Linked DNA regions of Sus scrofa. The protein of the gene in region 1 binds, or shares a complex with, the protein of each later gene. Links are inferred from orthologs where the notes say so. Each region holds a gene or a part of one and is shown on either strand. Other genes may lie near its edges.

Evidence for each region. Proteins that work in one complex are often made in the same cells at the same time.
Region 2: the proteins of SPAG9 (region 1) and ARF6 are in contact, whole or in part, in a crystal structure (PDB 2W83), measured with the Homo sapiens proteins. The link is inferred for Sus scrofa from reciprocal best matches to the Homo sapiens genes SPAG9 and ARF6. Residues at the interface, in NP_001124000.1 of Homo sapiens: Lys431, Asn432, Ile435, Val438, Asp439, Thr442, Cys443, Asp446, Val447, Gln449; in NP_001654.1 of Homo sapiens: Glu13, Arg15, Lys34, Phe47, Val49, Glu50, Thr51, Thr53, Lys58, Asn60, Trp62, His76, Tyr77, Thr79.

The regions. Positions count from the first base shown.
Region 1 is NC_010454.4:27,251,431-27,255,778, forward strand, and holds part of SPAG9 (C-Jun-amino-terminal kinase-interacting protein 4), read right to left. Parts: intron 2,823-4,348; coding exon 2,766-2,822; intron 2,612-2,765; coding exon 2,600-2,611; intron 1,494-2,599; coding exon 1,320-1,493; intron 783-1,319; coding exon 653-782; intron 1-652. UniProt on the Homo sapiens protein: The JNK-interacting protein (JIP) group of scaffold proteins selectively mediates JNK signaling by aggregating specific components of the MAPK cascade to form a functional JNK signaling module.
Region 2 is NC_010443.5:179,712,509-179,715,639, reverse strand, and holds ARF6 (ADP-ribosylation factor 6), read right to left. Parts: upstream 1,604-3,131; coding exon 1,076-1,603; downstream 1-1,075. UniProt on the Homo sapiens protein: GTP-binding protein involved in protein trafficking that regulates endocytic recycling and cytoskeleton remodeling. GTP-bound form plays an important role in the transport of multiple palmitoylated proteins form the Golgi to the plasma membrane.

The sequences.
Region 1 (4,348 bases):
TACTCCTAAATTGAGTTTTATTTTATTTATGTATTTCTTTATGTATTTATTTATTTATTTTGTCTTTTTAGGGCCACACCTGCGGCACATGGAAGTTCCCAGGCTAGGGGTTGAATCAGAGTTAACAGCTGCAGCAACATGGGATCCAAACCTCATCTGTGACCTACACCATAGTTCACAGCAATGCTGGATCCTTAACCCACTGAGCGAGGCCAGGGATCAAACCTAAGTCCTCATGGATGCCAGTCAGGTTTGTTACCACTGAGCCATGATGGGAACTCCCTGAAGTGAGTTTTAAATAACAGTTTGAAAGGCTCCATGACAATGGCTTCCTCAAACATTTAAAATAGTTTTTTAAATGAAATCTTCAAATATTAAAAATAGAGCAGCACACCCCGAGTCTCATGTACACAGCCATCTCTTAATGATCCCTCTCCCTACTCATAGACTCAGAGGCATTTCTTTTGAGCTGTAGGGCTTTGGAAAACAGCCTGAAAACCCCTACCCTCAACACTTCACTAGCCATGTGCCAAGTCCAAGCAGCTTGAAAGGAGCAGGTTTAGGATGTACATTTCGAGTCCTTCGTGCCCAGGCATACACGCCTGTCCCCTGGCATTTCCCACTAGATGCTCTTACCATGGTCATACGCTACCTGTTTGTACTTCTGAGGCAGGCTCCAGCCAAAAGCCTGCACTCTACCATCTTCCTTCTGAACATGTGCCTTTACCTGACGATACTGTTCCCTCTTTTGTTCTCTGCGTGAAGCTAAACTAGCTTCAGTTCTAAAAGGAAAAGAAATTTCCTTTTTAAATTAAGCAAATTAACAGTTTATCTCCCTTCTCCTGCTAAAACAGCAGAAATAACAAGAAAAAATTATCTTTGTGTCAGACACTTTAGAGACACTATATTATTTAATCCTAACACATCTGAGATAGGTTATCATACTCGTTTTATAGGCAGAGAGACTGGGGCTCTGAGAGGTTAACATCCCCAAGTTCATATACCTAATGAGTAGCAGGATCAGGATGGGAAGTCAATTCCTTCAACACTAAAGGAAATTCAAACATTTAGGACAAAGGCTTACATGAACTTTCAAAATTCCTATTAATATTTATCAATGTTACCATACCAGCAAAAAGGAGCTTTTAAAAAATTTCTTCTCTTTATGAAAACTATGAGCAACGTAGGTAGTCAAGTTACAGGAATAGTTTATAGTTTTATCTAAACCCTTATAACTCATCTGATAAGAGGCAAAAATACTCTGAACTGTTACTATAAAAATGATTTAGGCCATAACCACTACTCTGGAAAATACTTACTCTTCGCTAAGGAAATCAAAGGCTTTGGACTTATCCCCAGGGAGTTGAGATAAGGTGCTGCTTCTTTTCTTGACTGAAGGAGTAACATGAGATGTGGGTGCATTGTATTTCAGATTAACGGGTGGTTCAGGCTTCTTAGTAGTGTTACTTGAGGAGCTGAAAAGTCGGCTGAAACTAAAAAGAAGTAAGAGAGGATTTGTTTATAATAAGTGTGTATGTAAGTGTGATGAAAAACAAACCACCATTTCCCACAAATTCCAGAGTAGCTTTCATGAGGCAATGAGTTAGAAACCAGCAAAAAAAAAAAAAAAAAAGTTTGCAGTCACACACTGCAGCCTTAGCAGTAACTCACAGCCAAACTCAGACATTCAGGAAAGAGAAACTATTGCATAGAATGGCAGATCCTTGTTCTTTAATTGGCAATTCTCATAATGAAAGGAAGATTTATTTATTTTTTGGGTTTTTTTTTTTTTTTTTTTTTTTTTTGCTTTTTGCTTTTTAGGGCCACACCTGCAGCATATGGAGGTTCCCAGGCTAGAGGCTGAACTGGAGCTACAGGTGCCTGCCTAAGCCACAGCAATACCAGATCCAAGCCGCATACACCACAGCTTGTGGCAACGCTGGATCCTTAACCCACTGAGCGAGGCCAGGGATCAAACCTGCAACCTCATGGTTCCTAGTCAGATTCGTTTCCACTGTGTCATGATGGGAACTCCAAGATGTTTCTTAAGTACAGGGAAATTCTCATAAGGAAGAAATAAAATGAAATGGTTCCTTTAGCCAGTGATTGTTAAATAGCAAGGTTATGGCTTGAACAGAAGCTTAGCAAGCCAGTTCTAAAAACAGTCATAGAACAGATATTACCATTTTAGCACACATCTTATACATTCCCTTAGTAACCTCAATTTAAATAACTATTTTCACATCCACTCAAAAAAATTTTTTTTTCAATTAAATAGCAGATTCATCAAAAGGGGGGTAAGTTTTAAGCACAGTAAATGCACAATACTTCTGGCGCAAACCGTTCAAATGCAAAACACATACACACACACACTATTCAAACCCCACAAACACTAAATTTCTAATCTTTACTTTGTAAAGTTCCTTACAATCACATAACCAGTGAATCAATAACTTATTTAATGGGGGTCCAGGAAATTATCAACTCTAAGAATAATTTTGCATTCTTTTATTAATTCAGCAGAAGGTTCCACCAAATGCATAATCAATATGATGCAGCTTACGACAGCTTTTTTTTTGGTCCTCAAGAACAGCCTTACCGAGCTGGCATACTACATACCATAAAAAAGAAAAAGTTCAGTTTAGCTATAAATTCTAAATTTAAGAAAGAAAGCATGAAAATACAAAATCATTCTTAAAAATAAATTTTGATTCTCATCTTCTTGCATCAAAGTGCTCATGTTTTATGTGTTTTTAGATACTTACAACTGCCAAATGCTTGACCTTTTTTTTTCCTGCATGGCTGGATTTTCTCTTGATGCTCTACAAGGAAAGGGAAAGGGAAAAGGAGAGAGACAGGGAAAGGGAAAAGAAGAGGGAGAAAAGGGAAAGATGTGTTATTAGTGAGTCGTTCTAGCTTTCTATCTGAAGAACAAGGGACCCAAGAAATTCAGGAAATATACGGAGTTTATTTCAAGTTTATTACAAGTTCAGTAAGTAGTTACTTTGACATATCATGTTATCAGTCAGCCAGCTAAGGCCAATACAACTAATATAAATAAAATACCATCTCTCCCTCAAAGAGCTCAGACTACTGATGGAGGCAAGATTGCTATCGGTGCTAGACAGATAGCCAACAAGCCTAAATGTCAAGTTAACCTAAAAGTTATCTTCCAACTTTCTCTTTGATCAAAATATTGCCTTGTACATTCCTATCTCTACATAAAGGTGTCATTTGTCTTATACTTTCAAATTTCAAAAACTAGCTTACAACCTTACCATTCTGATGGGTCATTTTCACAGGACTAAAACTTTAACATCATGGAAAAGTTGAGCACGGAAGAAAAGAAACTAGACTGACAGACAATTCAACAAAATTTCAAAAAGGAAGAAAAGGCATTTCAAACTGATTTATTAGTAAGGTTGCATGGATTCTGCTATCACTATCAGATGCACAGCCCCCTTTTCACTTTTTTTTGTTTGTTTTGGTTTTTTTATTTTATCTGTTTTTGTTTTGTTTTGTTTTGTTGCTTTTTAGGGCTGCACTAGCAGCATATAAAAGTTTCCAGGCTAGGGGTCAAATCAGAGCTGTAGCTGCCAGCTTACATCATAGCCACAGCTAGGCAGGATCTCAGCAGCGTCTGCAATCTACACCACAGCTCATGGCAACGCCTTAGCCCACTGAACAAGGCCAGGGGATAGAACCCGAATCTACACAGATACTAGTCTGATTCATTACCACTGAGCCAAGATGATAACTCCTCTCCCTTTGTTTAAGATTAAATTTAAAACATCTTTTAATTCAATGGAGAAAGTTTAAATTTACTTTTATTTGCACTTGTTGACTACCATTTGGCTTCTAGAATTAAAATTAGTAATGAAAAGTAGAGCCTGCCCATATGCCTCCGTTTAAGAAATATTTACTCATTATTTAGCTAATAACCATTAAAAGGCTGGTGTTAAGAACATACTTATCAGTACATTAATTTCTTTGTGCAACAAATAAAGATTACGATATTCATCCTCTTTCTTAGCAACTATAAGCAATTACCATTTTTACAAATTGTAAATGTGCCATACAAAATGTTTTGTTCATTATTGTTGAGCAAGTAAAAGAATATCATTAGGAAGTTCAAGCTGGTGGTTAGAAAATATGTTCATATACTTTAAAACAATGTGTCAGTGTGTACTGCTTACTGATTAACGTGATGTGACAATCTGAACTCAAAAATATGGGCAAATTAGGGGGCAACTAGTTTATAAACTTTTCATGAGCTCTTTCTAAAATTAAAGTAAGGAATGCTATTACTGAGGATATGACCATTAGATGGCAGCATTAGATGAGATTT
Region 2 (3,131 bases), on another chromosome or scaffold:
GGTGCATATAACTTGAATTGTTAAATGCTTTATTAATGAACAAAGTAAACATTCTGGTAATTTTAATATGATTGGTCTTAGACATTTGAAACATAGTAAAAGATATATTCCAGTTTTGCCCAAAAGTCACTTAAAATATCTACAAATATTTCTTTTGTATATGGCATACAACATTATTGCTCCATTTTCTGGAAGAGTCTGTTTTTAAAGTTAAAAAAGAGGGAAAACACAGCAAAGTTGCTAACTTTGCAGTGAAAAAAAAAATCTGTGTCCTTGACTGGTTACATTTTCATATTTTTATGCACTGTAAGTTAGCTCTGTAAAGGGGAACTTGAGTTTTATCCTTACTCATGCATGATGTATGTTTCAGAACTTAAAAGCTGACATTTCAAAGAACTTACATTACCTGTTTTAACATACTGATGTGCAACTGGAACATATTACAATGATATTACTCATTATTTGCCCCTGTGGGCTAAGTTTACTATACTGGTCTTAGATATAAAAGGTCACATTTGAATTTACTAAGTTGGAATTCATAAGGGAGGGGGAAAAGGCCTTAAATATAAAAGACAAACGGCAGTTTGATTAAGCAATAATTTTCAGTTTACTAGATGAAACAGACTTGCAACATAGTCTGCATGAATGCAAAATAAGCCATCTACAGCAAGTGATAAGGAAACTGGGCAAAAAGGAAAAAAGCATACATTGGAAAAGAAGATTCTCTCGAAATAAAAAAATCAAACCATTATTATAAAGGAATTTATCAAGAACTGCTGTATTTCCCCCATCCCATTTGCTGGAAGTCAACGAGAGTATCTAAGTACTTTGTGTTCGTGTCAAAAGTCAGCTCAGAGCATCCTAACGCAAAGCCAAAAAAAAAAAAAGAAAGAAAGAAAAAGAAAAGAAACAAAAAAGAAACCCCCTAACCCCCTCCCCCAAACCGTAGAACTGTAACTCCAAAGTTCAAATTCAAAAGAAGAGAAAGTGGCAATTCAAAGAGGTGATGGTGGCGATAATCCTATGAATGGGTTTTTGATTTCTCTCCTTCTGGGGGATGGGTGGAGAATGCTCATTAGGATTTGTAGTTAGAGGTTAACCATGTGAGCCCCTCATAGAGTCCGTCCCCCGAGGTGGCACAGGAGGGCTGCACATACCAGTTCCTGTCCCGAATCCGGGTCAGGCCCAGTTTCTCCTGGATCTCGTGGGGTTTCATGGCATCAGGCAGGTCCTGCTTGTTGGCGAAGATGAGGATTATGGCGTCCCTCATCTCCCGGTCATTGATAATGCGGTGTAGCTCCTGGCGGGCCTCGTCTATGCGGTCGCGGTCGGCGCAGTCCACTACGAAGATCAGACCCTGGGTCCCGGTGTAGTAATGCCGCCAGAGCGGCCGGATCTTGTCCTGGCCGCCCACATCCCATACGTTGAACTTGACGTTTTTGTAAGTCACCGTCTCCACGTTGAAACCCACGGTGGGGATGGTGGTCACCGACTGGCCCAGCTTCAACTTGTACAGGATGGTTGTCTTGCCGGCCGCGTCCAGGCCCAACATGAGGATTCGCATTTCCTTGTTCCCGAAGATCTTAGATAGCACCTTCCCCATCGCTTCGGAGGAACCGGGGCCGGGGGCATTCAGGTGTCCCGGGTCCCCTCCAACAACGCCGCCGCCGCCGCGAAACCGAAACGGAGCTTCCCAGTCGCGAGGGGGCCCGTGCGGCCTGCGTGGGAGTTGCCTCCTCAGGGCAGAGGCCCGGGCCCGTAGCTCACTCGGGCATCACCGACCACACAACTTGATTCCTCCCGTCGCCGCGGCCTGAGTCTGCGTTGGGAGAGCCGCCGCCCTGCTGAGGCGCGGCCCGGCCCGGAACTGCCCTTCCCCCCGCAGGCGCCGTACAAGCGCCGCCGCCGGCTCCTGCTCGGCCGCCTTCACCTCACTCCGCCGCGGGAGACTGCGGCCCTTCGGCCCGGCCTCCGGTCCGCGGAGCACCGCGCTCACCACTGACCCAGGCCACACGAGAGCAGAGCGGCTCCGGCGCCCCGTCGGGTCATTGATCCTCGCGGGAACTCGGTGCGCTGCCTGCAGAAACACAGAGAGGAAAAAGGGAGTTACTGCGGGAGCCCCAGAAGAGAGCGGAGGCCGAAGGAGCCCGCCTTTCCAGCTCAGCCCAGGAGGTTACCTCCAGCCGCCGCCCAGAGCGCGGGCTCCCTCCGGCCTCCACCGCCTCCTCCCAGTTCTACCGCCGCCGCCGCCGGAAAAGGCGCCGAGGAAACCGCCTCACTTCCCCTCCCGACGACGCAGGCGCAGCAGAGGCCGACCGTTCGGGACAAGAGCGACCTCTGTAAGGAGAGCGGCCTGCGCGCCAAGCGTCAGGGGCGCCACGCGCGGAGGGGCGGGGCTACGGCGGCTCGGAGGCTCCCAGGTGGGGCCAGCCCTGCTCCCGCGCAGCCCGGGCTCTGACCCGCGCCCACCTGTAGCTATTCTAGCGTCTTCTCCCCTCTCTGCTTTTCTCTTCCGCGCGCTCTCCTCCTCCGCCCCCATTGGAACCTGAGAAGCAGATCCACTGGGTGGGGCCCGTTGGCCGCCCGCTCTCCAGATGAAAGCCTCCCCCTGCTTTGCTTCCAGGCCTCTTCTCCGTCCTCGGCGCCTGCCAGATGCTCTGCGAGTTCTCTCTTGCCCACCCCAGGCTTCGTGTGCCCTCCATCTCCCTGTGAATCCCTATCTGCTGTTTTAAACCTTTCACCCAACTCCCTTTGGCTTTCTTTTTCCTTCGTTTTGTGCATTTCCTGAGAGACACGTGGGAGGCCAGTGGTTCCCGTGGGATTTGCCGTTCAGTGCGGCGCGTTTACTGGGTTTGGGTTTCCTCTAAAGCCCGTCTTTTGAGTGTTTGAGCCGTCAGGAGCAATCCACGTTTCTTAAAAATTACAGTATTTTCAAGACTTCCCATGCTTTTCCTTTTTAAATATCTTTTACTGTGATTAGTAGTAGTTTCTCATTCTTAATTTTCAGCAGCCTCGTCTATATAATCTTAGCGTTGGATTTAGAATAGGAAAAACTACTTCTGACGCCTGGATTCGGACATTTGACCTTATCGAGTTGATCTCATGCGTAAACTGAGTGTAATTCTGACCCC